Caenorhabditis elegans: one gene and its partners. The protein of the gene in region 3 purifies or fractionates together with the protein of the main gene of each other region. This does not show direct contact. Each region holds a gene or a part of one and is shown on either strand. Other genes may lie near its edges.

The links.
Region 1: the proteins of maph-9 (region 3) and F46G11.2 fractionate together in Caenorhabditis elegans (co-fractionation; one large-scale study listed by BioGRID). This does not show direct contact.
Region 2: the proteins of maph-9 (region 3) and fbxc-51 fractionate together in Caenorhabditis elegans (co-fractionation; one large-scale study listed by BioGRID). This does not show direct contact.

The regions. Positions count from the first base shown.
Region 1 is NC_003284.9:5,785,111-5,791,548, forward strand, and holds F46G11.2 (uncharacterized protein), read left to right. Parts: upstream 1-3,050; 5' UTR 3,051-3,052; coding exon 3,053-3,119; intron 3,120-3,174; coding exon 3,175-3,272; intron 3,273-3,862; coding exon 3,863-3,960; intron 3,961-4,015; coding exon 4,016-4,132; intron 4,133-4,187; coding exon 4,188-4,280; intron 4,281-4,325; coding exon 4,326-4,488; intron 4,489-4,543; coding exon 4,544-4,640; intron 4,641-4,688; coding exon 4,689-4,885; intron 4,886-4,926; coding exon 4,927-5,142; 3' UTR 5,143-5,235; downstream 5,236-6,438. Other genes in the region: gakh-1 (Protein kinase domain-containing protein), read left to right, coding at 1-37, 87-338, 644-748, 901-1,040; F46G11.6 (ZP domain-containing protein), read left to right, coding at 1,418-1,586, 1,734-1,906, 1,962-2,102.
Region 2 is NC_003280.10:865,663-872,810, forward strand, and holds fbxc-51 (F-box C protein), read left to right. Parts: upstream 1-3,151; 5' UTR 3,152-3,168; coding exon 3,169-3,236; intron 3,237-3,589; coding exon 3,590-3,975; intron 3,976-4,143; coding exon 4,144-5,041; intron 5,042-5,762; coding exon 5,763-5,937; 3' UTR 5,938-6,037; downstream 6,038-7,148. Other genes in the region: Y46B2A.3 (Fibrinogen C-terminal domain-containing protein), read right to left, coding at 1-751, 798-980, 1,026-1,239.
Region 3 is NC_003282.8:7,153,113-7,160,656, forward strand, and holds maph-9 (Protein maph-9), read left to right. Parts: upstream 1-3,515; 5' UTR 3,516-3,651; intron 3,652-3,787; 5' UTR 3,788-3,791; coding exon 3,792-3,992; intron 3,993-4,458; coding exon 4,459-4,577; intron 4,578-4,626; coding exon 4,627-4,719; intron 4,720-4,767; coding exon 4,768-5,115; intron 5,116-5,175; coding exon 5,176-5,299; intron 5,300-5,350; coding exon 5,351-5,509; intron 5,510-5,553; coding exon 5,554-5,699; intron 5,700-6,334; coding exon 6,335-6,592; intron 6,593-6,906; coding exon 6,907-6,997; 3' UTR 6,998-7,044; downstream 7,045-7,544. Other genes in the region: C34D4.3 (MSP domain-containing protein), read left to right, coding at 555-662, 703-795, 843-995; C34D4.2 (Serine/threonine-protein phosphatase), read left to right, coding at 1,612-1,665, 1,738-1,887, 1,934-2,322, 2,371-2,686, 2,738-2,818; rpc-1 (DNA-directed RNA polymerase subunit), read right to left, coding at 7,173-7,316, 7,434-7,544.

The DNA of each region.
Region 1 (6,438 bases), on a different chromosome or scaffold from region 3:
GTGCCAAAAACACATAGATCAAATCAACAGCAAGAGAGTGAGTGAATGAATTGATTGAAACTTCTCTAATGCCAGTATATTTTCAGAAAACGCACCACCGAGACCACCCACAACAGCAAGCCCTCGTGCAGCCCCAGTTGCAACATTCAAAGTTTCATGGCCGACTGATAGTTCTCAGAATGATTCTGCAAACGATTGGGGAGACTTTAGTCAAGCACCGCCAGCGGTGAATGTTTCGAAAAAAGACGTATTCGATCCGTTTAGCGAGTCAGCATCACACAATTTGTCTGCAAAACATAGCGAAGATCTGTTATCCTTACAGAATTGGCCAGGAACTGGTAAGATTTAGGACACTGAAAACTGCGGAAAGCAATTGAACAGCAATTGAATTCCAAACGAATCCTATGTCATTTAAAAGGGGACCTTCAAACCAGATTAAAATTTTTGATGATTTGTACGGTGCTTAGATGAAGGCAATAAGGCTACTTCCTGTCAAAACTTGGAAACTTTCTCCCAAACATTCTGAATATATTGAAAGCTTTTCTGTGAAAATTTTGCAAGTGTCTGACAACATTATATGTTTTTGAGCAGCTACGAATAATTTCCAATATATTTCCCTATGTTAAAAATAATTTGTCTTCAGCTGAGCACAAACCAGAGGTACGATCCCAATCTTCACGAGACTTGTTTGACTTTGACGACCTGATGCTCCGACACACGACACCTTCCGCCGAATCTTCTCAAGCTGGTACGGTTTGTTCCTCTACGCAGTTATCATTTGCTATGTATTCATTTTGTTACAACCTCCTCTTCATGAATCACTAAATGATTCATCAAAGGAATCAGCCCAAACCAAATGATATCCTCTTTTCAAATCTCATTTCCTTTTTCCTTTTTCAGTTTTACAACCAATACGCCAAGTGGAGAACAAGAACTTGACCAAAGTCGATGTTTCAAAAAACGGAATTGGTTCGTCATCCTCTTCTGCCAGCCTGGATGATATGGTCAGCGATATGATGAAAATGTCAACCAAGAAATAGATTAAAATAGTAAAGTAGTTCAAAAATTATAGTTATTTATCATATTTTCACTTTCTTTCCCGTCCTGTGAATGTTTTGTACGAATTTTGCCAATAATTGAAAGATGGAAATGTACTTATAACGAGTATCTTCTTCTCTTCAATACTCATTTTATAAATCTTTCAGAAAAAAATCCATCCTCATTCCTTCATTTTTTTGTTTCTCTGTAAATAAAATGTATCCTAAATTATGCTTACTTCTTAACTTGTACATCAAAAAATTCAAATGTTTTATCGTCTACGAAAAGTAATAAATCAAGAAGAACACATTGTTCCGAACGCAATGACCTACTTGTATCGGGGTATCTCCAGAATGGAATGAATCGATCCAGCATACAAATGTCCAACCAACTTCTCGTATTCATACTTTTTCTTAGCGTTCTAGCGCCCACGCTATCCATCTATAAGTCAAAACAAAAACCGAACTTGTTGTCGAAAACTGTTGATAATAGTATAACGTGCGACTTTTCGATTCACAAAAAGGGACCTTATGGACAAGTTGTTTCAGGTATGCTTTAGTTCTGGTGTTTGAAAAAAGTTTCAGAAAATAACAAATTTGAATTTAAAAAAAAAAGAAGTTTGTAAAAAACTACAAACATATACAATGTCTGTCAAACAGCCTCTGTTATTGTTTCAAAAAGTTCAAAAATTTCAGGAGCATCTCTTGACGACGAGATTTACTATAAAATAAAGTGTAAGCCAATAACTGGAAATTGCCTCCAAGTTGTAAATTGCACATTGAGCTCGGATGAGCCAGGTTTCCAGCCATACCCTATTATTGATGATATGGGATGTAGCCTTGAAGAGTCACTGTTCAAAAATGTTCAGGTATCAAGAATTTAGGAAATTTGGAGAACAATATCTACAAAATGTCTATTTTCAGTATCCAAACCACTTTGAGGCGGGAATCTTCAATCCCTTCCCAATTCGGTTCCGTGCGTCGTCTGCCGCCGTTGTCTTGTTCTGTGTAACAACTGTGGTTCCAATTGAACATGGGCAGTGTACTCGCAGAAAATGTCAATAGATGAAGTTTCATGTTCATTTACTTTTCACTTCTGTGATTTTATTTAACAACTTCGATTTTAAATCTATGGTTATCTGGTGTTTTGTCATTTAAAACATTTTAAAGTACACGTTTTCATTGAATGAATAACATGCATATCACAATCGGAATTGTTTTTTTTTTTCATTCTCTCTGTGTACTTTCAAGCCAGACAAACATTACGCACGTATTCAGAAAAAAAGTGAAAAAAAAACGGTTTATGCAAATGTATCAGAATACCATGCAAACCAGCTGTAGTATTAAAAATTTGTTATATATATTTTTTACTTTCACTCTCTATCTATTTTTTTCTGTTTTTTGTCGGCCTTGAACTTGAACTACCTTTTTCCAATCATGAAGCAATGAAGCGAGCGTGGATTTTTTTGTTTTCCGCTGTGATTTGCTGTTTCTATCATCTCTATCCATGAATTGCATCACCGGATTGGAGGCGAAGTGTCCTACTATAACCGGAGTAATTCGATCGATCGATCAACCCTGCGCAAGCGAAATTTAGAGAATCTCCCTATGCGCTTGTTGAATGGAGATATATTAGAAATATGGTTGGAACACGCGGATGCGCAGACGAGTCTCGCAATTGACCGGTTTTTAGGAAAACTTTTCCCCCGCTTACCTCCGGACGTTCATCCTTAATACTGTTATTTCTAGAAGCGTCAGGCGACCTTTTCAATAAGTTCACTAAACATGAGTATGTCGCAAGGCGCATCATTTAATCACTTGATCCAGTCTTGGATCGTAGTTGCTTCATGCTTCATGACCCACCAAAGTGAAAGACTATATCATTTTATTCACCGTTTCTTATCATTTTCGTCTCTTTCTCACTAAATCGGTCACCGTGATCTTATCCTTAACCTCGTTCTTTATCTTTTCAATTAGGTGTTCAATTTTTTGTGATCACAAAGCCGTTTTTCCAGATGAAATGTTACTTACTTTTTCTGTTATTGGTACCTGTAGTATTATCAGAGCGAAGCAAAAGGCAAAGTAAGTTTTATTTTTAGCGTCCTTGTAAACCTAAGCAATCTTTCACAATTTTCAGTTTCAATTGATGACATTATATCCGGCGCATTAAGTCTCGTGAGACCGATCTTTGACACTTCAAAACCTATTCAAAACGAAGGAATGCTTAGAAAACCAGTGAGTTAAACCAGTAAGCTTAAACCAGTAAGCTCAAAATCAGAGTCAATTCCAGAACTGATCGAATTAGGTGATATAAATTGAATCACCAATATTGCCTGTAAGCTTCTTTGCAAGCTTAAACGGTGAGGTAAAACAATCTGGGAATTCGATTTTTAAACCCAAAATAGCTAGAAACCTCCGAATTTTGTAATGAGACGTACTCAAAATTCCTCAGAATTACTGAAGGCGGTTATAAGTACTGAAAAAATGACTGTTTTAAAATCTCCAATTTTGCAAACTTGACAAAATCAGAGCCTAAATCAAAAAACAGGACGTAATTACAAAATTACGCAATAAAAACTTACATCCACAAATGGTCGCGCAAAATTTCTAGTAAATCGAGTAAAATTTGAGATTTTAGTGAAAATTTACATTTTATTCAAAATTTAGAACCGCCATACCGTTTTTGAAAAAAATTTCAGAACGTCTTATCACGAAATTCAGTAGTTTTGAGCATTCTGAACTTTCCAATGCTTCAAAAATTTTGAAAATGACATACGCGAGCACGCGTAAAAATTAGTTCCAAATAATACATTGAAATTTTAAAGGACGCTCCAACTCAAGATGATATGCGCGACTCATCAATTTTGGGATCACACTCGAGAACTGCGTTAGATGATGTACCACTTTGCAAGGGGAATAGCAAGTAAGTAATTCGAATGTTTTGGAACTTTCATTTTTTTTTATTTTGGGAATTTCAGTATTTGCCGATTCATTTCGTGTTCTGCTGAAAACTTCAAAAAAGATCCGACATTTGGCAATATACAACTTGCTGCTCAAATACTTGGAGATGCTAAGCTTAGAAAAACTATCAGCAGGTACGGTTGTGCAAACAAAAAAACAAATATAATAAAGTGTAAATCAAATTTCCAGTAACTCTGATGCAGTTCACGCTGTATGCAAAGAACAAGGCATGGATGATGCGCAGTGTAAATTATTTTCCAAGGGATTCCAATTGATTGATAAGTATGTTAGCTTTAACATTGAAACTTATAGAAAAAATAAGTTCAGGTTCATGACATCTATTGAAAAGCCAACAGATGCAAAAGGCGGTGCACCTCCATCCACAGAACCACCAGTGACATCGATCCCCGATTTTGATGAGCCTACTGATGATGAGCCTCAAAAACCAATGATGGACGATCCTGCACAATTACAAGACGATGATAATAGAGTATGGTTTTCTTTTTCTCATTTTAGAACAATGAGAATATTATTAACAATTTCAGAAGCGCTGGGCGGATTATGATACCCCATCTATTACCCCGGTGATTCCCGTGCAAACAGCACACGGATCCAAAACGTGGAGTAGCAACCCTGAGACAAGTATGTTTATTTCAAGTAAGCTTTTCATTATATTTAAAATATTTACAGAATCATTACAACCGCTGGAAATCAGAAATGATCTTGTCTCTAGCTGGACTCAAATGCCATTTTTCGCGCCTCCAACTATTCCACCAGCCCCGCCGCTTGCTTTCAAATCTGTGCCTTCACTAATTTTACAACCGATTCAAGCACCACAGTTGGAGAATGGAATATTCTTCTCGACAGATAAATTCAATTTCCTCAAGGTGAATAACAACTTGAATTTTTAAAATCTAAATTTTTTCAGGACTTCAATCCGATCAAGCGATTCAGACGATCTCCTGATTACTACGATCAGATCGACGAAAAGAAGAAACCTTCAAAAACTTCTGATTCATCTAAAAAATCGTCTGGCAATACTGATGATTACTATGGAAACTTTGATAGTGACATAGATGAGAAAGATGAAATTGAAACCACCGGTCTGAAACAGTGCGTCCATTTTCTGGGACTTGGTGTATAGATCTTATCCACATATGTACAGTTTTTCTATCATTTCTTATTTTTTAAAATTTCAGTTGTTTGATTGACGGGTGTAATAAATCAAGATTCTTTTGAAATGAAAAACTTACTGAACGCAAAATTGGAAAAAAGAAATACTCTGGTTAATGGTCCTGTTTGGAAAATGTGTGATTTGATTTGGACAATAGGGCAAATTTGCATATCGATGTTTTTTTCCAAATCTGTTAGTGGAAGAACTGACTAATTGACACATTGTGACTGTATGTATATAAAAATTTTGATACTTCTGGTTTTTAAGTTTGGTTATGAGCACGTAACTGTAAACAGTTTTCTCATTCGGCAATATTCTATTTTTGAAAGAAAAACATTTTTTAACACTTTAAATAAAATTTAATGGCTGAAACTTTCGTTGTAAATAAATGTTGACAATTGGTGAAATAGTTCAATTCGAAAAAGTTTTGAAACAGAAAACTTATTTTTTAAAAAATCTCTAATTGCCTTTGGGATCACAAATGAATAGAAATTATTGAATTGAATCAGAAAAAGAAACAATTGAATTTTCCGAGTTTGAAATACAATTTTTGCGAACATTTTAAGAAGTGCAATCTCTTGAAGGAAATAACTTATAATTAAAAAGCTCAATGATTTACAGTAAAACGGTTTTTGAAAGAGAACTTTATCAAGCTGTTCTTTTCAAAAAATTTGACAGCAACATATTTTTTGAATACCTAGACTTGTCGTAGTTTGGTGTTTCCTGCTACACGGCGAGCCAGCAATTTTCCTGCCATCGAGCCCCCACACCGAGTCCAACGGTCGCAGACAATCTTGTACACGTGTGACCCATGGAGCGTAAAAAAGTAACAGTAGACTAGGAAGTGCGGTTGAGAACAAACAAGGAGCGGCATTCAGAGGAATCCTGAAAGTGCAGACGTTGCTTCTTCTTCGATTCCCAATCTAAGTCCTTCCATCCCTTGATGCATACTATTAAAAGAAAAAGGAAAGGTATGTGACGGGTTCATTGTTAGTCGTAAGAAGTGTACCAATTTGGGTATACCAATTCGTGCCAATCCAACGGGAAAAATAATAGAACGATGATGGTCGGGAGATGTTGGAGTAAAAAGAGAAGGAGGAGGAGGAAGACGGAATGTATACTTTTGAGATGATGGATATACATTGTGGGATGGAGTATAAAAATTGTTTGGTACGTGCAATCATAGCTGGGCTCCGTCCCTGCTCAAACGATTGTACATTTCCTTCCGTCTCGAAAGGTGTATCTGTCGACAATACAAGTAATTGA
Region 2 (7,148 bases), on a different chromosome or scaffold from region 3:
GCTCCGTTTGTCCATCCAGCTGTGGTTGGTCTCTGGGTGAATTCTCGAGAAGTATCAATAGTAGTACCATTGGCTCCGTTTGTCCATCCAGCTGTGGTTGGTCGATGGGTGGGTCCTCGAGAAGTATCAATAGTAGTACCATTGGCTCCGTTCGTCCATCCAGCTGTGGTTGGTCTCTGGGTGAATCCTCGAGAAGTATCAATAGTAGTACCATTGGCTCCGTTTGTCCATCCAGCTGTGGTTGGTCTCTGGGTGAATTCTCGAGAAGTATCAATAGTAGTACCATTGGCTCCGTTTCTCCATCCAGCTGTGGTTGGTCTCTGGGTGAATCCTCGAGAAGTATCACGAGTAGTACCATTGGCTCCGTTTCTCCATCCAGCTGTGGTTGGTCTCTGGGTGAATCCTCGAGAAGTATCACGAGTAGTACCATTGGCTCCGTTTGTCCATCCAGCTGTGGTTGGTCGATGGGTGGGTTCTCGAGTAGTTCCAGGGACTCTCGTTTGTCCGCGAGTAATGCCATTGGCTCTAATTGTCCATCCAGCTGCGGTGGGTCGCTGGGTGAATCCTCGGGTAGTTTCATGGGCTTTGATATTTCTATTGGTGTTGGTTGTGCCACGGGTGGACACTTTCCAAGGAGAGCAACAGACCATGTTAACATTGTTTGGCTTATCTGATTGAGACTCAATTCCACACACCACGTGACCCGCTTCACAGAATTGAGCTCTTGTCCACAAGCCACGATCTGCGTTTCCTTAAAACACAATTTTAAATATCACAAGCAACATTTCTGTTAAAACCTGTCAGATTGAATCTCTTGCTTCTCGGTTCAGAACCATCTCCACAGAAAACAGCAATATTGTTAGCTCCGGCAGTGTTGTTCGGCTCAATTTGAAGGGAATATCCAATCACTCTTAGTTTATTGGGACAACGTTGAGAGCTGCTCCATTGGCGTTCTCCTGGAGAGTTCGAAGCTCTTCTGCCTGAAAATTCAATTACATGCTCCAAAACAGTAAATAAATGCTTACTACGATCGCACACAATGGCGATCCCTGTTGGAACGTCGCTCGTATTGACGTTGTACTTGATTTGAATCCCAAAAACTTTTTCAGAAGGGCACAATGAGACGGGTTGCCAGGGACCATCGGAAACCAAACGCTTCAAAGGGTAATACCCTGTTTGATAGGCATGTGCGACAACAAAGACGGTGACCAACACAAGGAGGGACTTGTAGCCGTTCATAATGTTGAGTAATAGATCAAATATTCGAATATTTCTCTCTTTTATACTGTTAAAACGTGGAAACGTGTTCTTTTAAATTTTTAATTAATTTTTTTTTGAATTTCCGTACTAGTTCCATGTCTCAATGACCGATAGACGCATTTTCCACGCTGTTGACTAGCGCGTCAAGCGCGCTAGGCTTCGCAGTAGTTTAAGTTGGAAAACTCGGGAAAATTTTGATCATTTTGAATGAAAACTGATTGAGCCATGGTCATTTGAGATAATATTATTTCTGGGTCTTTTCTATCCGTGTATTCGGGCCTGCGGCCCTCAACCTGGATTATTGGGCTCAGAGTAGGCTTAAAGATTGTCCAATACTTCTATGTGTATTTGGGCCTGCAGCCCTCAATCCGAATTAACTGATCTTTTCAAATACAGACGTAGTCTCATAAAAGTCCTCCAGCCTGCTCTGCTGGAAGTAGGGATAGAAAAAGCCTAAAGTTTCTAAGAGTAAGCAGGCAGCCCTTATCCCTGATTTTTGGATTTGAGTGAAATGAAATAGCATTTGGCCTGTCCTGCTGAGGTTAAAAGTGGCCATAATGTTCAAAAAGTGCGGTCCTCAATATGATTGGAGCTATTGAAACAAATTGCTCAAAAAAAAACGCCAATCCTAAGCTAAGATATAAGTTCTCAAAGTGCAGTCACATTTCTCGGGACACCTCATGTCGAAAACGTGCCCTTATTTTTTATTTCTGTCAAGTGTGCAATTTACGGATTTAATATAGGAACACTTGAAAGCCCGGAAATGTCGGCTGCGGTTCTTGGTTGATTTTTTGTTAATACAAGCTTGAAAAATCTTGTGAGATGTCTTCTACTGTTTCGACATTTTGAAAGGAACCGGGAAAGTGTCGGCTGCAAACAAAGTTGATATTAAAGTCAGCATCCGACATCTCAATGGATGTGGCCAATTTTGAAATGGAAGCCTGTGCTAATGCACCATGATAAACCCGAATAAAAGGGCACTGAAGATCAATTTTCATTCTTTTTTTCGCATTTTTGGCGACCCAATATCTACCAATTTTCCAGCGTAAAGTTAATTTTCTGCCTGTTTTTTTTTTGCAAACACGGCAAATGTTGTAAACAACATATTAGTATCAAGGTCAGATTTGGTCCAAACCAGCATGATTCTTGCCCCCCTCTACCCTAAAATAGTTTGTCAAATAGAAGCCTCAATTGATTTTTCACATGAAAATTTTTCAAATACCAACTTAAAAATATCATAACTCAGCTGAAAGTTGAGCTAGCAAAAAGTTTTCCACCAACAAAATGTTTGAAAATTAATTTGAAATATTTTTGTAGTTGACAACTTTTCAATAGCTCAATTTTCAGCGGAGTTATGAGCTTTTGAACTAATTTTTCACAAAAAAAATCTATAGAATCTCTTTTATTCTAATTCTCCATTCACATCAAGTAGTCCGGGTACGTGTAGGCTCTCTATAGAGGACCGATGCTCAAGGTCAACAGAGATAAACATTCCCGCCCCGTCTGCGACAGATGGACAGAGGTCACCTAGTTATTTAGGGTAGTCTAATGGTCCCTATTGCCTCTCCAACGGGGGTATGTAATAGGGGGAAGACGGACAATTATTGGGTATTTTCCACAAGTTTTGAACTATTTTTTGGCTGTTTTGTCCGATTTCTGACAATTTTTGGACTATTTCTAGCTATTTTTCGACTATTTTTTTATATTTTCGTTGAAATTTTGCTATTTTTGGCTACACTCTGGCAATATTTTACTACTTTCGAATGCAGCTTTACTACTTTTTGGAAATTTGTTTACTAGATCATAGTCATTTTTTGTCAGTTTTTCACAATTTTCTCGTTTCTTTCAACGTTTTTCTCACTTTTCGCACCAATTTCCCACTTTTTTACAGGTAATAAATACCTACATATGAGCTTAACACCACTCCCATATGAGTGCCAGAAATGTGTACTACAGTTCTTTGAAGCTAATAGGAGGTATGCTTTTATTTTTTTTTGGAATTCTGATTGTAGAGCTGAAAAAAGTTTTTGAAAAGCTATTAAAGTTTAAAAAGAGTTTGGAATATATTTTAGTAGGTTACTTTTTCAGAGCAAAAGTTGATAAATTTACAGTCGATGCATCATGTTTTCCTCAACTTTAACAGCTCAAAATTCAATTTTCTTTGTGTAAAAATTTATTAAAACGGGCTTCGGTAGAAGTATAATAACTTAAGCAATTTTCTGTCGATGAACCATGTTTTGCTCAAATTTTGAGCCGTTCCTAGAAGTGGGGCAGCTACCAATATTATTTTTACTTTTAAACACCTATCAACCTACTTAAAATATTCCAGATTTAAATTAGTGGAACGATGTGACTCCCTAAAAGCAGCCGACAAAGCTGCTCCCCTCCACATCTACAAGCTCTACATGAATCCCCGTGTCATCCGAATCAACCGACATAGGTACACGTTAGGACTGCTCCGCCACCTACCGAAAGACCATGTCTACTATAGTCCATATATCAACAATGTGAACTTAGATGGAGGTGCTGCCTATGATATGGATCAGTATGGGCTTAAGGATCCCCGCTGCAATGAGGTTTTGAGCCCTGGAGATTTGAAAGTTGAAAGCAAGGAAAAAATTAATAATATGGAGGATATGACAATGGAGATGTTGCAATTTGCAATGCGGGATTTTATAAGACCACAGGGGCGGATGCAGGTGCAGCAGAGGGAAGGTAGGTGATAAGGAGTCCAGTGATATGTCGGCTGCTGTTTAAGAAAATTTAGAGCACTATCTCAGTTGACAAATTTGTGATAGCTTGATTTCTAGCTGAAATATGATAGCTTAAAGTGTTTCGGCGGCCAATTTTTGTTTCGGAAAATCTCAAAAATATATTTTTCAGACCCTGAAAGCTCTTCCGAAGATGATGAGGATGAAGCAGAAGATCTTCCAGCAGAAGGATCAGATGATGAAGACGATGACCCCCAGGAAGCTCAGATCCGGCGTATCCTCGGCGACGCTTACCTCCCAAGAGCACGCTATTCATCTTCAGAATCCGAAGCATCTGAATCCGAAGACGAGCCAGACATAGATCCAGCAGTCACCGACCAACTCGAAGCATACACGAATCCATACAGCTGGCGAGAGGAAAATGAACCAGCTCCATACAGATTTGGCATCAGATTCCAAAGGATGAACTTAGACTTCAGGCGGGACAGGGAGACTTTCCATGGGATCATTGAGTATCTGGATTATAACAAGAAAATGTATGATGCGATGAAGTATATCACAGAGAAGTTGTTCGGAAAAAGAGCTCACCCAATTGTGATAAAGACCCTGGAGCTTGGTGATGCAGGTGGGGTCTACCGACTCCCCGAGAATTTTAAAGTGAAAGTTTCCAATATGAGATTTGGTACGGAGTTCGGACTGCTTTGGGATGGTCTGAACAGTATTTTCCACGAGAGCACTCTGCCTTTCAAGAGCTTGCATATGCCTCTAGAGCACGACCACCCAGTTATCCATGCCACCCAGCGTCTGGTTATCGGAACTGAGAAAATGTTTGGGGAGAACTTTGCCTGGATCCCTTTCCTACTGAAGCTTCCACAGAAGAATGTCTACATGCTTCATAGTCCACTGTTCCATCATGACTATGTGCAGCTGATTGATAATTGGATCGAGACACCGAAGAGTATTGGGACCTGCTTTACGTTTGGTGTTAAGCAGTATCACGCCACCCAATCCACATTGAACTTGCTCGGGGATCATCCGATGGTTGTGAGCAAGAGGATGGAGGGAGTAGAGTAAGTTCGCAAAATTCAGGATGCATCGATGCACCAGCTGGAAATTTGGAGCTCCGATGCACCATGTTTTTAGGGAAAAGTCGACAAAAAATCTTCATTTAGTTTTTATTTGAACATTGCACTGATATGTAATACATCGAAATTTGAGTTTGAGGCTCTTTAAATAGATACAAACTACCTCACTTGTGCTTTTTCGAACTTTTCAAAAGCCCGTGAAGTGTCGGCCGCTGTAACTTTTCTCCTGGTAGAGCTAGTGGAAAGTTGTCAACTACAAGATTGTAGATGCTATTATTTGCAACGGTTTTGCAGTTGAGCAATTTTATGAAAGTAGTTGGGTTTTTGAGTTATGCTCTTTCGAAATTAGTTGTTTTTTTTTTGCAAAATTATCCAAAAACTAAAACTCAAATTTCTAACAACTTTTACAAAAACTTTCGTGTTGCAAATGCGTTGCAAAAATTCTGACTTACAATTTCAAATTTTTCTGTGGCAGAACCTGTTCTGCGGCGCGCAGGTTCGATTTTATGCAAAAATTTTTTTTTGAAGTTTAGCATTACACCTCAACTATGGAGGCTTATATCTTGATGGAAAATTGTTTACTGGCAAAATAATAAATATTACTTTCACTATAATTTTTTATTAAATATTCTAAAATTATCTAATGTACATACTAGTTTATAAACTTCCAAAGTTGGACTCTTCCCAAATTTTCCTTTTTTTCCAGCTGCACCGAATTCCCTCACTGCTTCAACATCCCGCTGACCTATGAATCCGAGCTTAATGTCTACGGTAAGAAGAGAACTGAAAACTTGGACCCTTTGGAGTTTATGCCACATGTCAGTTGGTGCCTGGTCTTCGAAGTGATGCCAATTGGAAGCGCTTTACCATTGGAGGACTGATTTTTCAATTTGCTAATTTTTTTTTTCAATTATGTCTTGTTGTCGTGTTTTTGATAATCTGAAATTTGTTGCGTGGATTTTAATAAAATGTTTTTTTGGTACTAAAAATGTTCCTAAATTTTTCTATATTTTGCTAGTTACCGGCTCAACGAAGGTGGTATATTTTAAAATCTGAATATCTGTAAATCTACAAAAGTTAGCAAAAGATTGTCAATTAACAAAATAATCTACGCAAATTGTTCTATAAGTTGTTAATTTACAAATTTTTTGTAGCTCAACTTTGAGCATAGTTATGATAGCTCTAAGTAGGGACAGGTTACCTGATTTTTATCAATTTTAAAACTTAAATATCTCCAAAAGCATCAAAGCTAATAAAAAATGTTGGGTATCTACGTGTACCTTACCCTTAACGTGGATATGAAGATCGTGTAACGTGAACTCATTATCTATGTATACTAACTTTCTATTTATTCCTTAGTTATGTAATAATAAACTACTCGTCTTCGCCTCCTTGTTCGGCCTCGAATATATAACATTGGCGATCAGGATCTTTCGGGCTCACTGCACCACTGACTTCATGCACATGTCTACTTAGAAGAAAAGACCTCTGAGGTATTGTTTTGATCTACACATGTCTACTGGGAAGAAAAGACCTCTGAGGTGGATCAGGTCAGCTTTGGGAAGAGGCACCTGCCGTGCTCTCTGCAGTTGCAGTCAAGGTGGACAGGAGCGGCTTCTGGTTTGAAGTCGAAAAGAAGAAGGAATCATTGCTCAACTCTTTTGAAGATGCGAGTGAAGGCCACCTATGCGTTTCAAATGCTCAGTCATTGGACGATTGCACAAATTGTTATTGGTCATAACATGATCCACAACCAGGAACTGGGATACAACAGGTTGATGGTGGAACAGGCGGAATCAGTGTGGATGATTCAAGGTTGGGTCTAATATTCAGGCAGCAACGTTTTTTTAGTCTGTTGGTGAAGGGTGGATAGACATCAAAAATATTTCGATTGGTACGGGAAGTGTGGCTAACTTGGAACCCGCAATTGGAGGATGTGAACACCGAAGTACCGTGTGCAAAGGATTGGCAATATCGACGGTCACACTGGAGGGTGGTCCGTGAGAACCTCAGAAGACATTCGTGGATGGCTCCTCACCAAAGCTCTCGTTTGTCATTGAAGAGGGGAGATGTTGGGTATCTACGTGTACCT
Region 3 (7,544 bases):
AAGTTCAGAAAAAATGTTCTACAAGTTTTTACGTGCCAAAAGTACAAAAACATTCCAGTTCACAAGATTCCCATTTTCCGAAAAAGTTAACTTTCACTTTCGAATTTTGGGAAATTTATAGTTTTTAAACAATATATTTCAGATTTTGGAAAACTATGTTTAAAATTACTTTGTTTTGATAATTTCAATATTATTGATTACTTTCAGTTAAAACGAAAAACTTTTAAAAATAGTTATTCTCAAATAATCAAAAGGGCAAATTTTTGGCCATCACTGTACAGAAAACTTAATGATGTACTGATGAGAGCTCGCTTTTTTCTTACTTCCGCCGAACCGAGCACAAGCTGATCTTCAAAATTTGAGAAGTAAACAGTATTTAAAGTTGCTTTAAAATTTTTGGATTTACGCAGAAATTTAAAAGAAATTTGTTTTAAATTTTCAATTTCGCAAGTGCAAACCTCACGTTTATAAAAAATCCCCCCCCCCCCCTCCCTCTCTGTCGGAAAAAATAAAATTAATCGAAATTTGAATCAGTTCGAGAAAATTACATCGAAATGGGAGTCGAGTTATCGTTGGATCCGCCAGTCTGCCCAATCCAAGCCAATGGTGGTGTTTCTACGCACAAGATCATTAATCACTGCGACAAAATGTTGGCCTATAAGGTATGGAATCCACATTTTATTAAGTCAATTGAATTTTCAGATAAAATCTTCCAATAACTCCAACTACAGTGTCAACACTATCTTTGGACTTATTCAGATTGGGTATACCGCTGATCTGATCATCACTAGAAAGGTATGTAGTAGTTGTCGCCTGGCCTAAAAATTAAACATTTTTTTCAGCCAGGAAAGCCGCAGGCCGACAAGCTTGTTATCCAATTCGCTGCCGTTGAGCAGACTTGCCGTGATGGCTGTATTTGCCAAGGCTGTATTTGCCAATGGACTGCCAACTGGAGAGTGCTGTGGAGAGACGATCATCAAGCTGTCAGCTGCTGAATAGAAGAATTATCACAATAAGATTTGTGATTATGAAAACTTCTCTGAAAATTATGTATTGTGTGTATAAATAAAGTTGAAAGGGGAATGATTTTTTGAAAGTTTGTAGTTTTTATTTGAGAACCGGGAAAATTACAAAAACGACCACCCGCAATGTTTATATTTCGACCATTTTTTGAAAACCGGGAAAGTGTAACCCAAATTTGGTATATACTGTGCCAATATTCTATTCGCTCTCGCTTTTACGGAAAAATATTTTCAACTAACAAAATTTTGCCGTTTTTAAATCTAATTAGTCAGTATTTTTACTTGCCAGACGTTTTTTGGCTAATTTTATAGCAGGAGAGAAAGTAATTATATTTGCATAAGTGTTTTTAAAAAATTGCAAAAATTGAAATTTAGACATTAAATAATATTTTTTAGCAATGGAATGGTCATATTATAATAACATTTTAAACATAAAAACAATGTTGAGTAAAAGATTTAGTTATAAATTACGTGAACTTCATGTTTGCCTTCGAAATCTAACCAAAATCTAACCGTATGACATTCCACGCGTCCAATGACATTTATCAAGATTGATCGGAATATAAATTCAGTTTGAATCTTTTTAACGATGGCAACTCCCGATACTTCGGCTGCGAAAATGGCGGGACAGGATCGTCAAAAGGTACGTGATTTGACTTTTTCTAAAATGAGTTTTCGAACTTTCTTTGACTTTCAAAATAATTGTTATTTTCAGTTAAAAGTTGTTGCATGGTTGCAAAATCTTGTTGAGCGACTGAAAGGATGGACTCCAGGACATTGCCAGAAGCTATTCGATGAGAAGGAGCTCATCCAGCTTTGTTATCGTGCTCGTGAAGTCTTCTGGAAGAACAATGTGAAGTTAGAGGTGTGTACAGACTGCAAAATTCTTTTAAAAAATTAATTTTCTTTAGCTGAAGGCTCCTGTCAAGATATGCGGAGATCTTCATGGGCAGTACGAGGATTTATTGGCCCTGTTGGAATTGAATGGATGGCCTCCAGAGACCAAGTATCTCTTTCTGGGAGACTACGTTGATCGAGGACCGTTTTCGATCGAGGTCATCTCATTGCTCTTCGCCTATCAAGTCCTCCACCCGGACAAAGTTTTCTTGCTCCGAGGAAATCATGAGAGTCGCCCGGTTAACATGCAATACGGATTCTTTATGGAATGCCGTAAAAGATTTTCAAATGCTCTCTACGATGCGTTCCAACTGGCATTCTACTGCATGCCACTTTGTGCAGTAGTCAGCGACAAGATCATCTGTATGCATGGCGGAATTTCCGAGGATTTGGTGGATTTGAGGTTTGAAATTTCGGCAATCAAGGTTTATGCTCATTATTTTGGTTACAGACAACTTGACAAAGTCGAACGTCCCTGCGATGTTCCCGATATTGGCGTCATTGCTGACCTGACATGGGCTGATCCGGATGCCACCATTCAAATGTACGCCGAGTCGCAACGTGGAGCCGGTCGTGTCTTTGGAGCAGAAGCAGTCAAGAAATTCCTGAACACCCATCATCTCGAACTTGTCGTTCGTGCCCATCAAGTCGTCATGGATGGCTACGAATTTTTTGCTGATCGGCAACTCGTCACCATCTTCTCGGCGCCATCATACTGTGGACAAATGGACAACGCTGCGGCAGTTATGACTGTGGATGAAGAATTGGTTAGTTACTTTAACGAACTTTAAAAAATTGTTTACAACTATTCATTACAGGTGTGTTCCTTCACTGTGATGCGTCCGGACTTGAAGAAAGACAAAGAAAAGAAGGCAGCTGTAGGAATTGTCCCCAACTAACAGGCGTGCCCACCATTCAAGGATCAATTTTGAATTAGAACTACTTGATTTTGTATTTACCAATAAATTTTTTGGTGTTTTTTTTGCCCATTCACTGTTTATAGAATAAATTCCTACAGTTAAAATAAAATAATCGCATTTTTCAACCATTTACATTCTCAGATATCATCCAGTGATCTAAGGAAATGAAACAAAATATCATATTTTATATATCATCATCATGATCAAAGTATCATAGTTTCCTCACGATATGAGGAATAACATCTGTGATTTCACTCTGCGGATAGTGTGCTTTTTATCCGGTTTTCATTTAGAAATTATATTTCTTTTATTGTTGTTTTTCAGAAATTTATTTAATATTTCCTATTCTTATTTTATTTGTGCTTCTCACACTTTTTCCCCTTTCGGCCCTATCCGTTTATTTATGCTTGAGAGTTGCGCATTTTCCGATATCAGTAGTTTCTCTAATTATTTGATACGTATACTTTTACATATGCTTCACCTGTTCCCTTGGTAATAACCTTCTTTTCCTCTCATTCTCTCTATCCCTTTACTTCTATTTCGGAAACAGCCAATTAGTGCATATCGAGATATTAAATAAAACGTAGAGACCGCAGAGATATTGTCATATGGTATCCAATGGCAACCGAAAGCATTTACTAGTGCGAAATGTCTCTTTGAGGAATAAGATAGAAATGGAGGATTATAAGAGGTTTAGAGAAAGAAGACAAAAACGAAGGTCTTCTTGTTTAGTTGCTGGGAAGAGCGACTAATAAGATATTCAAGATTTTCAGACAATATCAGGAGGTTGCACACAAACAAAAAGACGTCCCGTGGGTTTTGTTTTTCAGAAATTGTAATCTTCTTCTATTCCATCTCGACCTATCTTCTTCTACTTCTTCTAGTTTTCTTTTTCTCTGTTTTTTTCCGAATGTAATACATATGTGCATAGATTCCAACATGTTCCAGTGAAATGGGCGAATATCAATTACACCAATCTCGTAATTTGAGTGTCAATCAGACCCTTGATGAGATTCTGGGAATCAGTAGAAAATCAGAAACAACCACAACATCAAGTGGCTCAAGTGGAGCTGAAAAGAATGCATTGAACTCTCCGATCCGGCCACCAACAAGACATGGTAGAGAATCATCGGGAAGCAATGAAGAAAATAAAGTATGTTTGACATTAAAATTATTTTAAAAAAAATTTCACTATTCGGAAAAACTAAATCCTTTTTTCTACGTGCTTGAAATAGGCGGTAGGCATATAGGTAGGCAGGGATTAGGCAGGCAAGTGTCTACTATGTAAGCCCTAGAAAAACCAAAATCATACTATCAAGGTGATAAATGTGTGCTCACAAAACGTGTCTGAAATGGCAGTTCAAAGTGCAATATTTTGCACTTTCAAAGTAAGGTCACAAAAATGATTGTCTACATCCGTTTTTGCCATAAAAAGTGGATTCGTCTTATGATTTTGCCAATACCTGTTACAAAGAATTCCAATAACTTAAAAAATTGTTAGTTCTAGTGTAGAAAACCTAGCTAACGAAAAAAGAAAAATCTCTAGGAATTTCAAAAAATTTCAGTCCAATGCCAGATTTCAGTAACAATTAAACTGTGATAATTGGAATAATTTTCAGGATCCGATTCAACTGGAGAATGGAAATGGATCAACATTGAGCTTTCTAACATCTTCTTCATCTGCTACGTCATCAACTGCTGCTAGACGAAATTCAGATGATGATTTTATAAAGAAATTGTGAGCTATTCTCACCTTTAAGTATTTTTCAGCAATCATAATTTTTCAGAAATGATATCAGGCGTCGCTCATTGATTTCTACAATGGATGCAACATCTACACCAACTACATCTGTTCCAATTCATTTTGATTCTCCGAGACGGTAAGTTCTTAGAAACATTGAATATTTTTAATTTGGAGTTTACTTCAGAGAGTCTCGTCCTTGTCTCGAAATTCACGTAGAAGAATCGCCAGAAGAACTTTCAACGCATGCTGTAGAGATCACCGAGTTTCATAGAGACTTGTCGGAAAATTCATTGGGTACAAGTACAGATCATGAAGATCCGAGTCTAACCTTCAGAGTGGATAAAGAATTGGAACAATCTGAATCTAAGAAGACAACTAAAAGGCCTGCAAGTGGAGTTAAGAAAACACTGAAAGCTTCGATTTCTATTGATGCTCCGAAACCAAAACCTCGACCTCGCCCTCAGACCTCAGCAAATTTGTCTACAAAAACAATCAAAGACAAAGATCAAGAGATGATGCAAATGTCTATGTTGTAAGCTATTTTCTTAAATTTTAATTACATGAGGGGAAGCTGCCAATTTTGATTTTCCAGCGGGTCCAAGTTAAATAAACCTTCTGATGCTCATCACAAGGAATGGCTTCAGAAGAAGGAAAGAGAAATTCGGGAGAAAAAGGCAAAAGAGAAAGCTGCAGCAGAGCAGAAAGCTGCAACGGAGGTACCGTAGTTTTAATATTTTTAAACGGAATTGTAACCAACTTTGTTTCAGAAAGAACGTCGTGAAAACTCTGCAAAGTTGTATCAAAGATGGGTTCAGGATCATGATAAAAAAGCGAAGGAATTAAAATCGAAGAAAACTCAACAAGAAAGGAAAAAATCTGAAAATGAGAAAACAACGCAAGATCAGAAACTGAAAGAAGCTGAAAAGGTACTCAACATTTTAAATAAATCTAATAAATAATTGAAATTTAGAATTATGAAATGTGGAAGCGGGAACGTTCGAAATCTGTAACAGATATCAGAAAGAAACTGGAGCAAGAAGAAGACAAGAAAAGAAAGAAAGAGGAAGAAGCTAAAAATGAAAAGATCAAAGAAGCACAGGCAGCTTTTCTAGCATGGTTAGTTTTACGGATTGATAAACTACAAGTGACTTTTCGTTTGTGCTCCGAAGAATATGATATGGTTTTTTACAATATTAATTCTACAATTAGTGATTGTTCGCTGAAATCTCAAAGAAGGCTCCACCGATATCTTGGATTTTTTGGAGTTTTTTCTCGCATATAATCTGCATATTCTGAACAATTTTTGTGATATCCTTCTATATTCTTTGTGGATCATATTATGCACAGATGAAAAATTTATCGATTTTTGCTCCAAAAGTACGGTACCAGGTCTCTAAACGATTTGTTCTCTTGAATTAAACAGAGCGTGTGTAATTTAGGAGTACTGTAGTTTTATTCTCCCGTTTCTTCAGTATTTTATGTATTTTAATATATTTACCATTTTTCAAAGAGTTTTGAAGAAACCGAAGAACAAGTATAAAAAAATCACTGTAAATTTCTCAACAACGAGAAGTTGTCAACTACAGTACTTTTTAAAGGCGCACACTCTTTTGCATTTGAGAAAAGCAGTCGTTTCAAGACCAGGTATTGTTTCTTGGGGCAAAAATCGCAAATTTTCGAATATGAGTAATAATACAAAGCCACGAGAAGCCAAGCTTTGTTAAAAATTTGAAACCGAAATATTTTTCCAGGAAACGGAAAAAGGAAGAACTATTGAATGAAGAAGCTGAAAAGTTGAAAAAGGAACAAGTTCAAAAACAATTGGAAGAATCTGAAAAAATGACAAGATTGTCGTTGGCTAATGAAGCATACGAAACATGGATTGAATTGAAAGAATCGGAACGAGAGTTTATTGCCGATTTTGTGCTTATTGAAGCTCCGCCGATTCCATGGCTTCCACCGAGTAATTTGATTCCAAGGCAATTCGTGAGATCGTCGAATGGAAATCGGTTAGTTTTGTTATTAATGCCTCTTTTGAAATCAAATTGCAAACGCGCTTCACGGCTAATTGAAAGCTCCGCTTTTGGATAATGGGTCTCGTTAGGTATTTGGCGGCAAACCCAAAAATTCAAACGTTTTTGATTAATTTCGCCTAAATATTTGTCGTCTTTTTTTGTAATGTTTTCCGTTGTTAATGATTTATAAGTCGAAACGTTCGTAGGTAGAGCTTATTCAATTAGCCGTGGAGTTCGTTTCCTGTCAATTTCAAAAGCTGATTTTTCTGCCTACATACAAGTTTAAAATCATTAACCTTATGTTTCAGTCTTCGCGCACGGTCTCAATCTGCTAAATCCATTGCAAAACGATCGAGAAGTCGTCCTGGCACTACAACTTCTTTGCGCCCATTTCGTTAAACTGTGATAACGAATTCTATGAAATCAATAAACTTATGTTCTTTCAACAACAACAAAAATAATAACAAAAAAGCGAACGGGTTGAAACAAAAAAGTTAAATATAAAGAAAGGTATCTAAATAACAAAAATGAGTAAAAGTCTGGGTGGTAAAGAAAAAGTATTAAATCGAACAAATTAAAGAGTGACGTTCAGACGTTCGAAAATCGGCGAATTCTGTTTAAGAACGGCTTTCTTGTCGTATTTCTGCATCAATTTGAATGTACCGGTTCCGACAGTCATTGGGGTTCCCATAATAATACACTCCGAAACTCCATGAATCTAAAAAAAGTTCAATAAATTTTCTACAATTAAAACAAATTAAAAAAAATCGAAAATATTTGGGTTTTTATTTTTTCGATTTATAAACTTTAATAGGAAACTATAAAATTTACTTACCACGTCACGTTGAGAGAAAAATGCAGCTTCAAACAAGTGATCCATCGTTTTTTCGAAGGAAGCAAGTAAAAGTACGGAATCTTTCATTTTAACGAGACCATTACGAGTGAT